2 linked regions of the Coturnix japonica genome follow. The protein of the gene in region 1 interacts with the protein of each later gene in a biochemical or structural test. Links are inferred from orthologs where the notes say so. Each region holds a gene or a part of one and is shown on either strand. Other genes may lie near its edges. The genes, in order: ATG7 and MAP1LC3A.

What was found.
Region 2: the proteins of ATG7 (region 1) and MAP1LC3A form a complex in vitro, tested with the Homo sapiens proteins (2 studies listed by BioGRID, with this or other methods). The link is inferred for Coturnix japonica from reciprocal best matches to the Homo sapiens genes ATG7 and MAP1LC3A.

What each region holds. Positions count from the first base shown.
Region 1 is NC_029527.1:2,870,691-2,874,925, forward strand, and holds the start of ATG7 (ubiquitin-like modifier-activating enzyme ATG7), read left to right. Parts: upstream 1-1,266; 5' UTR 1,267-1,387; intron 1,388-1,471; exon of another isoform or gene 1,472-1,491; intron 1,492-2,007; exon of another isoform or gene 2,008-2,034; 5' UTR 2,035-2,046; coding exon 2,047-2,224; intron 2,225-2,455; coding exon 2,456-2,510; intron 2,511-3,143; coding exon 3,144-3,261; intron 3,262-4,235. UniProt on the Homo sapiens protein: E1-like activating enzyme involved in the 2 ubiquitin-like systems required for cytoplasm to vacuole transport (Cvt) and autophagy.
Region 2 is NC_029535.1:1,283,095-1,287,689, reverse strand, and holds the start of MAP1LC3A (microtubule-associated proteins 1A/1B light chain 3A), read left to right. Parts: upstream 1-1,640; 5' UTR 1,641-1,728; coding exon 1,729-1,768; intron 1,769-4,595. UniProt on the Homo sapiens protein: Ubiquitin-like modifier involved in formation of autophagosomal vacuoles (autophagosomes). While LC3s are involved in elongation of the phagophore membrane, the GABARAP/GATE-16 subfamily is essential for a later stage in autophagosome maturation.

The sequences.
Region 1 (4,235 bases):
TTAAGCTTCCAGTTAGCAAAGTACGTGGCAGGATTTATCGGTTTCTTCTACTAAGAAGCAGAGAATAGCAAATCAGGGTAAGGAATGAAGAAACCTACTGCCATGTGGGGCCAAGCCCTCAGGCGTGGTTTCCTGCAAACATGTTCAACATTTCCCAGTTAATAAACAAGGTCAGAGGACTCACACTTTTAAGTGAACATAATGAATTTCTTGGACTGAAATTCGACTTTGTTGAGGATGTGGTTAGAGCAGCCAACTTTAAGAAGCAGAAAAGTGTACTCACCCTTCCATGTTTCTTTGTGCCAATAAGGACATCTAGTGGGAAATGAGAAGAATTGTGGGATCCTGTATTGAGTATGATATAGCTTGCAAGTTTATTAAAGAAGGGCTGCAGTTTGGAAGTGGATTGTGCCATTTGGTCTATGTTTCATTCTCATATTATTTAACCCCTGCAGAGCTGCCATCCAGGGAGTCCCCAGCCTACAGTGATGCAGCAGGTGACGTGCAGGGTGTCTTCCAGGTACAGCTTTCCCATTTGATGTGGCTTTGCTGGCCTTGGTGAGGCTCCTCTCAGACACAGCCGGGTGTTGAGGCTCCTTATGGAGCACAGTCCTGCCCATTTCAGCTGCTGTGGTGTCATCCAGAGGTCTGAGCAGGGTTCCCTCATCCAGCCCGGTGATAGGGGTATTAAACATTACCAGCACAGGTCTCAGCCTGCTTGGAAAACTCCCATAACGTGCTGGTGGCTGTTTTTTTGTTTTTTGTTTTTTTTTCACCTGTTGAGCATGGCTTTCTGTGCCCAAAAGCTGGGTTTTAAAACATCCTGCTGACCGCCCATTAAATCCACGTCTTGTTCAGATTACTTCTCATGCCAGGTCACACTGAAGGTAAAGAAATATTGTGTTAGGGACTGCATATATTGGCAGCAGCTGTGGTACCAAGTGTCATGGGGAAGCATAAACAGGCCGAGGACATTTGCTGACATAAAGATAGGAATGTCTCCAGCATTCAGCCACCGTGCATTTATATGATCACCCGCAGAGTTTTAGCTCACTAAACATGCTTGATCAACCTATAACACTTTGCTATAGCACCATACTCAACGCAGAGCATCCTCGCGCAGGTTCGATCTAGCAGCCACAACCACAGAGAAGGAGAGGCTGGTTTTTAGTCCTCATTACTTCGCGAGTAATGCCGTAAGATGAGTGTACTTCACTCAGGACGGCACAGAAAAGAACCACAAGGGGGCAATGCGCTGACTGACGTTCCCTCTCCTCAGGCGGAGCCAAAGGACGGGCGTGTGAGTGCACTCCCCTTCCCGCCCTCCTCGGTCAAGTGACCGCGTCACGTCAGCCGGCAATGGCGGAAGTGCTGCGCGGTGGAGCCGGTGAGCGGCCGTGGGCGGTCGGGGGCTGAGGGGCATGAAGGGCGTCTGCTGTGGTGGTGTCCCCATTGCGGGGCTGTGCGGTGCTGGCTGTGCTGCCCAGAGCTGTGAGTGCCATCCCTGGAGCTGCCCCAGGCTCTGGACGGGCCCTGAGCAGTCTGAGCTGGGGGCAGCCAGCCCACAGATGGGGGCTGCGAGGTCACTTCCATCCCAACACTGCTGTGATCCCTAGAAATAAGGAGAGGTTTCTTTATGTTGGTAGAAGTGATACAAGGTGTTTTTAAGCTGTGGAAAAAAATTATGATACTGCAGATTCCTGTTATTAAAAATTAAAAAGGAAGGAAAAATAAAGTGAAGTTAAGCAGGATGTAATATCATGTGTGCCAGTTAAAGCAAGACATTGTGACAGAACCTTATATTTGTCATTGATGGAAAACAAACCTATCCAAAATCTCGTAGAAAATCCGTGAAAAGTGTTTTCATTGCATTAAGTTCCTTAAATTTTCAGAGGAATGAGGTTTTCTGTACTTCACATAACAAGACGTATTTAAAAGAAACTTTAAGTAGTTATGTATAATGTGGTCATTGGGGTGTGTACTTATACAGCTCATCTGCTTTTATAGAATTCTCTTTGCTTGTGTGTTTAATAGTGAACTACAATCATGGCAGCAGTCAGTAATGAGCCCCACCATGCTGTGGATCCTGGAAGTTCGAAGCTGCAGTTTGCTCCCTTCAGTAGTGCCTTGAACGTAGGGTTCTGGCATGAACTAACCCAGAAGAAGCTCAATGAGTACCGACTAGATGAGACTCCAAAAGTTATCAAAGGATACTACTACAATGGTAGGTAGAAACTGAACATCTTTCTTTGCACTTTGGCTTGTTCCTCTAAATATTCATTTAACATGTTTCAGGTATTTTGCTGAAACATTGCTAGGATTAGGAGCGCTGCTGAATGAGATGGGAATTCTGGTGTGTCTGTGGGTGTCTTATAACCCTAGATTAGTTTCTCTAATTTTAGAATACATGTATTGTAGTTTAAAAGATGCATGTTGCTTTTTGTTTTTTGGCCAGGCGATCCATCAGGTTTCCCAGCTCGTTTGACGTTGGAATTTAGTGCTTTTGATATGTAAGTATGTATTATGGTTTACCTTAATTTATATATGGAGAAACTTTCCTTGCATAACAGTAACTTGGTGAGAGAGTATCACTTGGAAAAAATCTGTGAAAGATCAATTCACATTCTCATGAACTTTATAACTGCAGTGAGTGTTTTGTGACTCAGTACTAACCTGTTTTTGAAGCAGCGTATTCATCTGAAGGGCCAAGCTTAAAATACACTGACAAGTCTCAGTTTCACTTACTGTTTATATGTGTTTATATAATACTCTTTTCTCACATTTCATAGGCTCTTTTGTATAAATAATTATTTCAGTTATTATTTCTGATTAAAGCTTTCTTAATATCTTTATAAACTAAATATTCTTCCTTAGAATGAAGATCTCAAAATAGCTTTTACAACCTCTGGTTGTTACGTTGCAATATTTTTGAAAGTAGTATTTAACCTTTGACTGAAATTTTTTAATAAAGCAGTATGATCATGTTTTCAGGATAGCTCTCACTAGCTTCTATTACTATGCCTCATTGTTTTTCAGTTTCTGGACAATTTTACCCCATAGGAGAGCAATTGCTGCTAGTACTGATCCTGTTGAAGATGTTAGTACACAATTCCCAGTGTTCTCTTGTTTTTTTCTTAATTCAGGAATGCTTCAATACCAGCACGTTGCTGTCCTGCTTTTGGAACGTTGCATAATACCAACACTTTTGAGACTTTCAAGTCCTGTGATAAAAAATCACTTTTGGAAAAAGAAGCAAATGAGGTAAGGTTTAAAATCAAATCAGCTGGTTGAATGGTAACTGTTCAGTCATGGCCTGAACCACTAATTGAGCACCTGGGGAAAGGATCTGATCAGCCCTGGGAGCACAGGTGAAGGCAATTCAGCTGTGTGATAGGAAGAGCCAGGTGGAGCCTGGCTGCACCTATTTAAGACCTTGTTGAACGGCTGACTGCCCATGGGCAAGAATCTCTGGTTGGAGATCCTTTCCTTGTGAGCCCAGATCTTCAGAGATGGGTGAGCACTTTTCCTTTGTAATGCATTGCTATTCATGCTGGTCCCTTTGTCATTACACCTGCTGTATCAGTATTCCACTGTGCTGATCTGTTTGATCACTTTTAAAGAGATGGTTTGAAAATAGCCAGCAGATTGTTTTATAGTCTCTGATCCAAATATTAGTGACTGCCCAAACTCGCCCATACAGTTTTATTTAACTTATTATGGTGAGGGAAGTTTAATATTTGCTTTTTTATTGCTCTTTGCAAGAGATTAGCAAGTTGATGATTATGCTTGGGGATCTTTTTTTTCAGGGTGCTACAAAGCCATGTTTTAAATTCAGTGGTTACTGGAGCTGCCAGTGACTTGCATCCTATAGATCATGTTTATAATTTGATACAACATCCAGAAATCAGGAAGTGTTTATTTTAAACTGAATTACTGCAGTCCATCTATCCATGTGACAAAGTGATGGGAAACAGAAATTTGAGATAAAGCAAGAGAAAAGTGGCAGCCAAAGGAAGGGGCTTATCTGCTTGTACTGTAACCAACTAATTTAAATGTCATGGTTTAGGGAGAAAGGCAAGTCTAACAAAGGCAGCCTTTTTATTTTTGAGATCTTACACTTTGACCAGTGTTTGATTCCTTCAGTTAGCTTTATTGGCTGCCTGCTGTCTGTAGGTAACAGGGTTTTCATGTGTATCTTCTTTCGAGGCCTGTTGTGGCATAGTACTTCCAGTAAA
Region 2 (4,595 bases), on another chromosome or scaffold:
GCTCTGAGCTCTTTTTCATAGCCTGAAAGCAGAGAACAGTAACTCAGAGATGGGCTTGAAAAGCATTTGTGCTCTGTGGCTTTGAGCTGCTTTGTGTTACAACTGGAGAATGGCCTCACTTTCTGTCTTTGAGAAATTGATCCCTTTCTGAAGGCAAAGGAAACACCTGCTGCGAAGTCAGAGCAAACAAACCCTGATGCATTAAGAGGCTGATGAGGGGGGTTTGAAGTATGGCTCAGGGCTGCAAGCAGCAGCACTTGTAGCCCAAGATCTCTTTGTCCAGCTGAGATAAGGCCGTGGCAGAGGAATGGAGGTGACAGCACTTAAGAGATCGCAAAAGATAGACTTGTGGAAACATCTGTTCATCTTCAGACACGTCTTTCAGCTGCTATGGGCAGCAGCTATTTGTCTGCCTGAGATGGCTGAGCAGCACTCCTTTCACACACAGGAGCTTTATTTACCTTGTCTTAAAGCTTTTGCTGTGCATTGCTATGTCTGTAGGGAATGAAAGCAAGGCCTACAGCAGGCCAAGCTGGCTGTGTGTTAGCAGAGTGCCCCGACCTGCACAGGCTGCATGCAGAGCTGTGGTGTGCGGGGGCTGCAGGGCACTGAGCTCTGACAGCACCAACACTGCAGGAGTCTGAGCGTCATCAGGTCTGTGTTGACAGTAATACACTACTTCAGCAGCACAACAGCATTCCTCGGGGAGGCTCCAAGCTGTCACAAACATGCAGGGTGCTCATTACCAGCAGTGCTCACCCTGCTGGAATGCTGGCATTGTAAAGCTGGCTGTTGATCGTGGGTTGCTATAGGGCTGCTTGCTGCTGCTGGGTTGGTCTGTCTACCTGTTCCTCGTCAAAAGTGGGTTAGTGCTTAACAACAGTAACAAATTCAGTGAGCCTGCAGTCTGCAATGTCAGTCCATCTGCCTTATCTCAGTCAGTACCGCAACTTCTTTCCCTTCTGCATTTTTGGATGGCCAGGACCCTTTTGATCATCAGAGCACTTTTAAAAGATGCAGTGGGAGCCTTTCTGTCCCTTTGAAGCAGGGATGTACTCAATGTCTGCCCACCATGGGGGGTTGTTTTGGAGCACAGCGCTCATTGCAGCGTGCCTTCACGGGGACATGCAGTGTGGCTCTCTGCAAAACACCGTCACCGTTTGCAGCTGGGTTTGATTCGTTCACGGCTCTAGAAATAGCCCGCTCTATTTGTAGCCGTGATTTGCTCTGCAAGGTATGCGGGCTGTGTGTGCAGCGGGGGGAGACGGGCTGCTCCGGGGCGTGCGGGGCAGTAAGAGGAGGGGACGGGGACTGAGTACATGGGCAGAGCGGGGGACGGGGGCGGCTTTAACTAGAACAGGGAAGATTCAGGTCGGATGAGCGGAGGGAATCCTACACCCGCAGGCGGTGCGGCCCCGGCCCTGGGCAGCCCGGGCTGGGGGAGCGGCTCAGGTGCGCACGGAGCAGCGCTCAGCGATGTGCTGCGGGAGGGGAAAGCGGCTCTTGGGGTGTGAGCGGGGCCCGAAAGGCCGCGATTGAAAACGGGATCGATGACTCGGCGCTCATCGCACCGGGCGGCACCGCCCCACGGACACGTCACGTGACACGTCACGGCCCTCCGCCCGCCCCGGTGACGTCACCGCCCGCTCCGCCGCAGCCGCCACACGGAGCCGCCGCCGGCACCTGCGACCCGGCCCGGCCGCCGCCGCCGCCGCCAACACCACCGCCATGCCCTCGGAACGGCCCTTCAAGCAGCGCCGCACCTTCGGTGAGCGGACGGCGGGGCGATGTGCGCGGGAGCTGCGTGCGCAGCGATCGGGGGGCGAGGATGGGGCCGCGCGGTGCCGCGGGGCGGGCGGTGCCCTCCGGCCGGGCTATACCGGGCTGTGCGGGGCTGTACGGGGCTGTGCGGGGCTGTACGGGGCTGTACGGAGCTGTACGGGGCTGTGCGGAGCTGTACGGAGCTGTACGGAGCTGTGCGGGGCTGTACGGAGCTGTACCGGGCTGTGCCGGGCTGTACGGGGCTGTACCGGGCTGTACCGGGCTGTACGGGGCTGTACCGGGCTGTACCGGGCTGTACGGGGCTGTACCGGGTTGTACCGGCGGCCCTCGGGCTCCTTGTCCTCCTCCCGCAGCCCGAACGCACCCGCGTAGCGCGGCGGTCCCCCCCCACCCCCCGTTTCTTATTGTGGCACCGCCCGGAGCCGCGACCCCTTCGCCCCGCTGTGGCGGCGGGCTGAGCCCCTTCGGCTGCGGGTGGGCGGCCGAACCTTCGCGCACCGCCCGGTGCCCCCGCCCGGCTGGGGGTCGCTGTGCCGAGGACCCCGCGCTCCGCACCCTGTGCTGCCGGGCCCGGCGGGTTCCGCGCTCGCGTGGAAACATCGTTGTGCTGAATGTGGGCGGTGGGCGATGTGACCGTACGGGGCGATGTGACCGTACGGGGCGATGTGACCGTACGGGTCGGTGTTACCGTACGGGGCAATGTTACCGTACGGGGCAGTGTTACCGTACGGGCAGTGTTACCGTACGGGGCAGTGTTACCGTACGGGTCAGTGTTACCGTACGGGTCAGTGTTACCGTACGGGGCAGTGTTACCGTACGGGGCAGTGTTACCGTACGGGGCAGTGTTACCGTACGGGGCAGTGTTACCGTACGGGCAGTGTTACCGTACGGGGCAGTGTTACCGCACGGGGCGATGTTACCGTACGGGTCAGTGTTACCGCACGGGGCGCCGCGTCGTGCCTTGCCCGGCAGAGCGGCAGCTGCTGCTCCCCCTGACCTTTGCCGGCCGAACCCCGCGGCCACACGGCGCTTGGCTGGAGTTTTCTATTAAAAGCAGCAGAATCCCGAGTGCCGCCCGTATCTCTGCCCGCTGCTCCGCCGTGGCAGCCGGCATCGCGGGCGGGAGGAGCCGGCTTTGCCTTTGCACGTTGCTCAGGCTGGAGGAAAACAAAAGTCGAGGCTCGGAGTGACCGAAGGAGAGCGGGACTGAAATAGCGCAGGAGGGAAAGGGGGGGAGACGGAGTCGGGTGCTGTGTGACCGCGGGTGTCTGCGCCGTCCTGTGCCCTTTGGCTCCCGGCTGATGTGCAGAGCTCAGCGGGACGAGGAGGAAGAGGAGGCGGCCCGGCGCCCGCTCGGCTGCTTTGGGTCGGGGCTGGGATCGCTCCGCTGGAGAAAGTAAACAGCGCTTGTTTTCGTCTTCAGCTCGTTGCACAACGGGAGCAGGAAGCGATTGTTGACAGTGCCGCTGGAGACGGACGATGGAAAATATTTCCAGTGACACTGCACCCTCAGAACGGCGCTGTTTGTAAGGCCGCAGAGCTGGAGAGAAGTGGAACGGCTCCAAAAGAACAGAACAGGCAGAGTCAGAGTGTGGCTGTTTACAAGAGCCGCCCAAGGCTCCGGTGTCACGGCACGTGGCTCGGTGAGGCCTTGGCCCGCTGCCCCGTGCTGACGCTCTGCTGTGCTTTGTGCCCATTTTCCCCCTTCTTGTAGTGTTGAGGTTTGTTTTTCTATGGGGTTTCTTCTGTTTGCCCATCTGCTTTGTCTCAGGTCTGTTCTGAATACATTTTATGGAGCTCAGTGTGATGCTGTTGAGGACTTAAGTCCAACGCTGGGGCATGCGGCGTCCCCCTGGTGTCTGATGCACATCAGAGGGGGCTCTGCTGGGGTTGTGCTCCCCGCTGTGGCTGTGGCTGTATCTTTGGGCTGGGGGTGAGATCTGATGGAGCCCCTCAGCTGCCACGTGCAAACCTGCCTGTGAATGCTGAGGGAGCTGCGTTCTGCTTAGTCAGATCCATGGTAGGAGTCCAGACCAATTCCCAGAGTGAAGCTGTGCTCTGTGTCAGAGGAGCAGGCTGTCCTGGCTGCAGCCATGTGTGCAACCTGCTGACCCTGCGCTGCTTCCTGTGAAAGGTGCATCTTTGGGCTGGATGCTCCCATCCCAGGTGCAGTTTTCTGTGCCTTCAGTTCTGGCAGTGCACTTCTCATGTGGAAAAGGCAGCAGTCGGTAAGAGCAGCACATAGAACTGAAGAGTGGCCTTCACCAGGTGGCAGCAGGGTGAGGAAGGGGATTGTCCCCCTGTGATCAGCTCCTGTGAGACCCCACCTTGGTTTTGCATCCAGCCCTGGGGCTGCTGGCACAGGAAGGACGTGGAGCTGCTGCAGGAGGTCCAGAGGAGGACACAAAGGTGCTCAGAGGGCTGGAGCATCTCTGCTATGGAGTCTGGCTGAGGGAGCTGGGAGTGTTCTGCCTGAAGGAGGGAAAGCTGCGGGGAGACCTCATTGCAGCCTTGCAATGTTTAAAGGGAGATTATAAACAGGAGGAAAATCAACTTTTTACACATGTAGATGGTGATAGAACGAGGGGAAACAGCTTTAAACTAGAGGGAAGATTCAGATTAGATGTCAAGGGGAAGATTTTCACTGAGAGGGCAGTGCAGCCCTGGCACTGCTGCTCAGAGCTGGGGGTTTTCTGTTCCTGGAGGTGCCTACAGCCATGGATGGGGCCCTGGGCAACCTTATCAAATGGTTGGCAGCCCTGCCCATGGCAAGGGGGCTGGAACGACATGATCTTTGAGGTCCCTTTCAACCC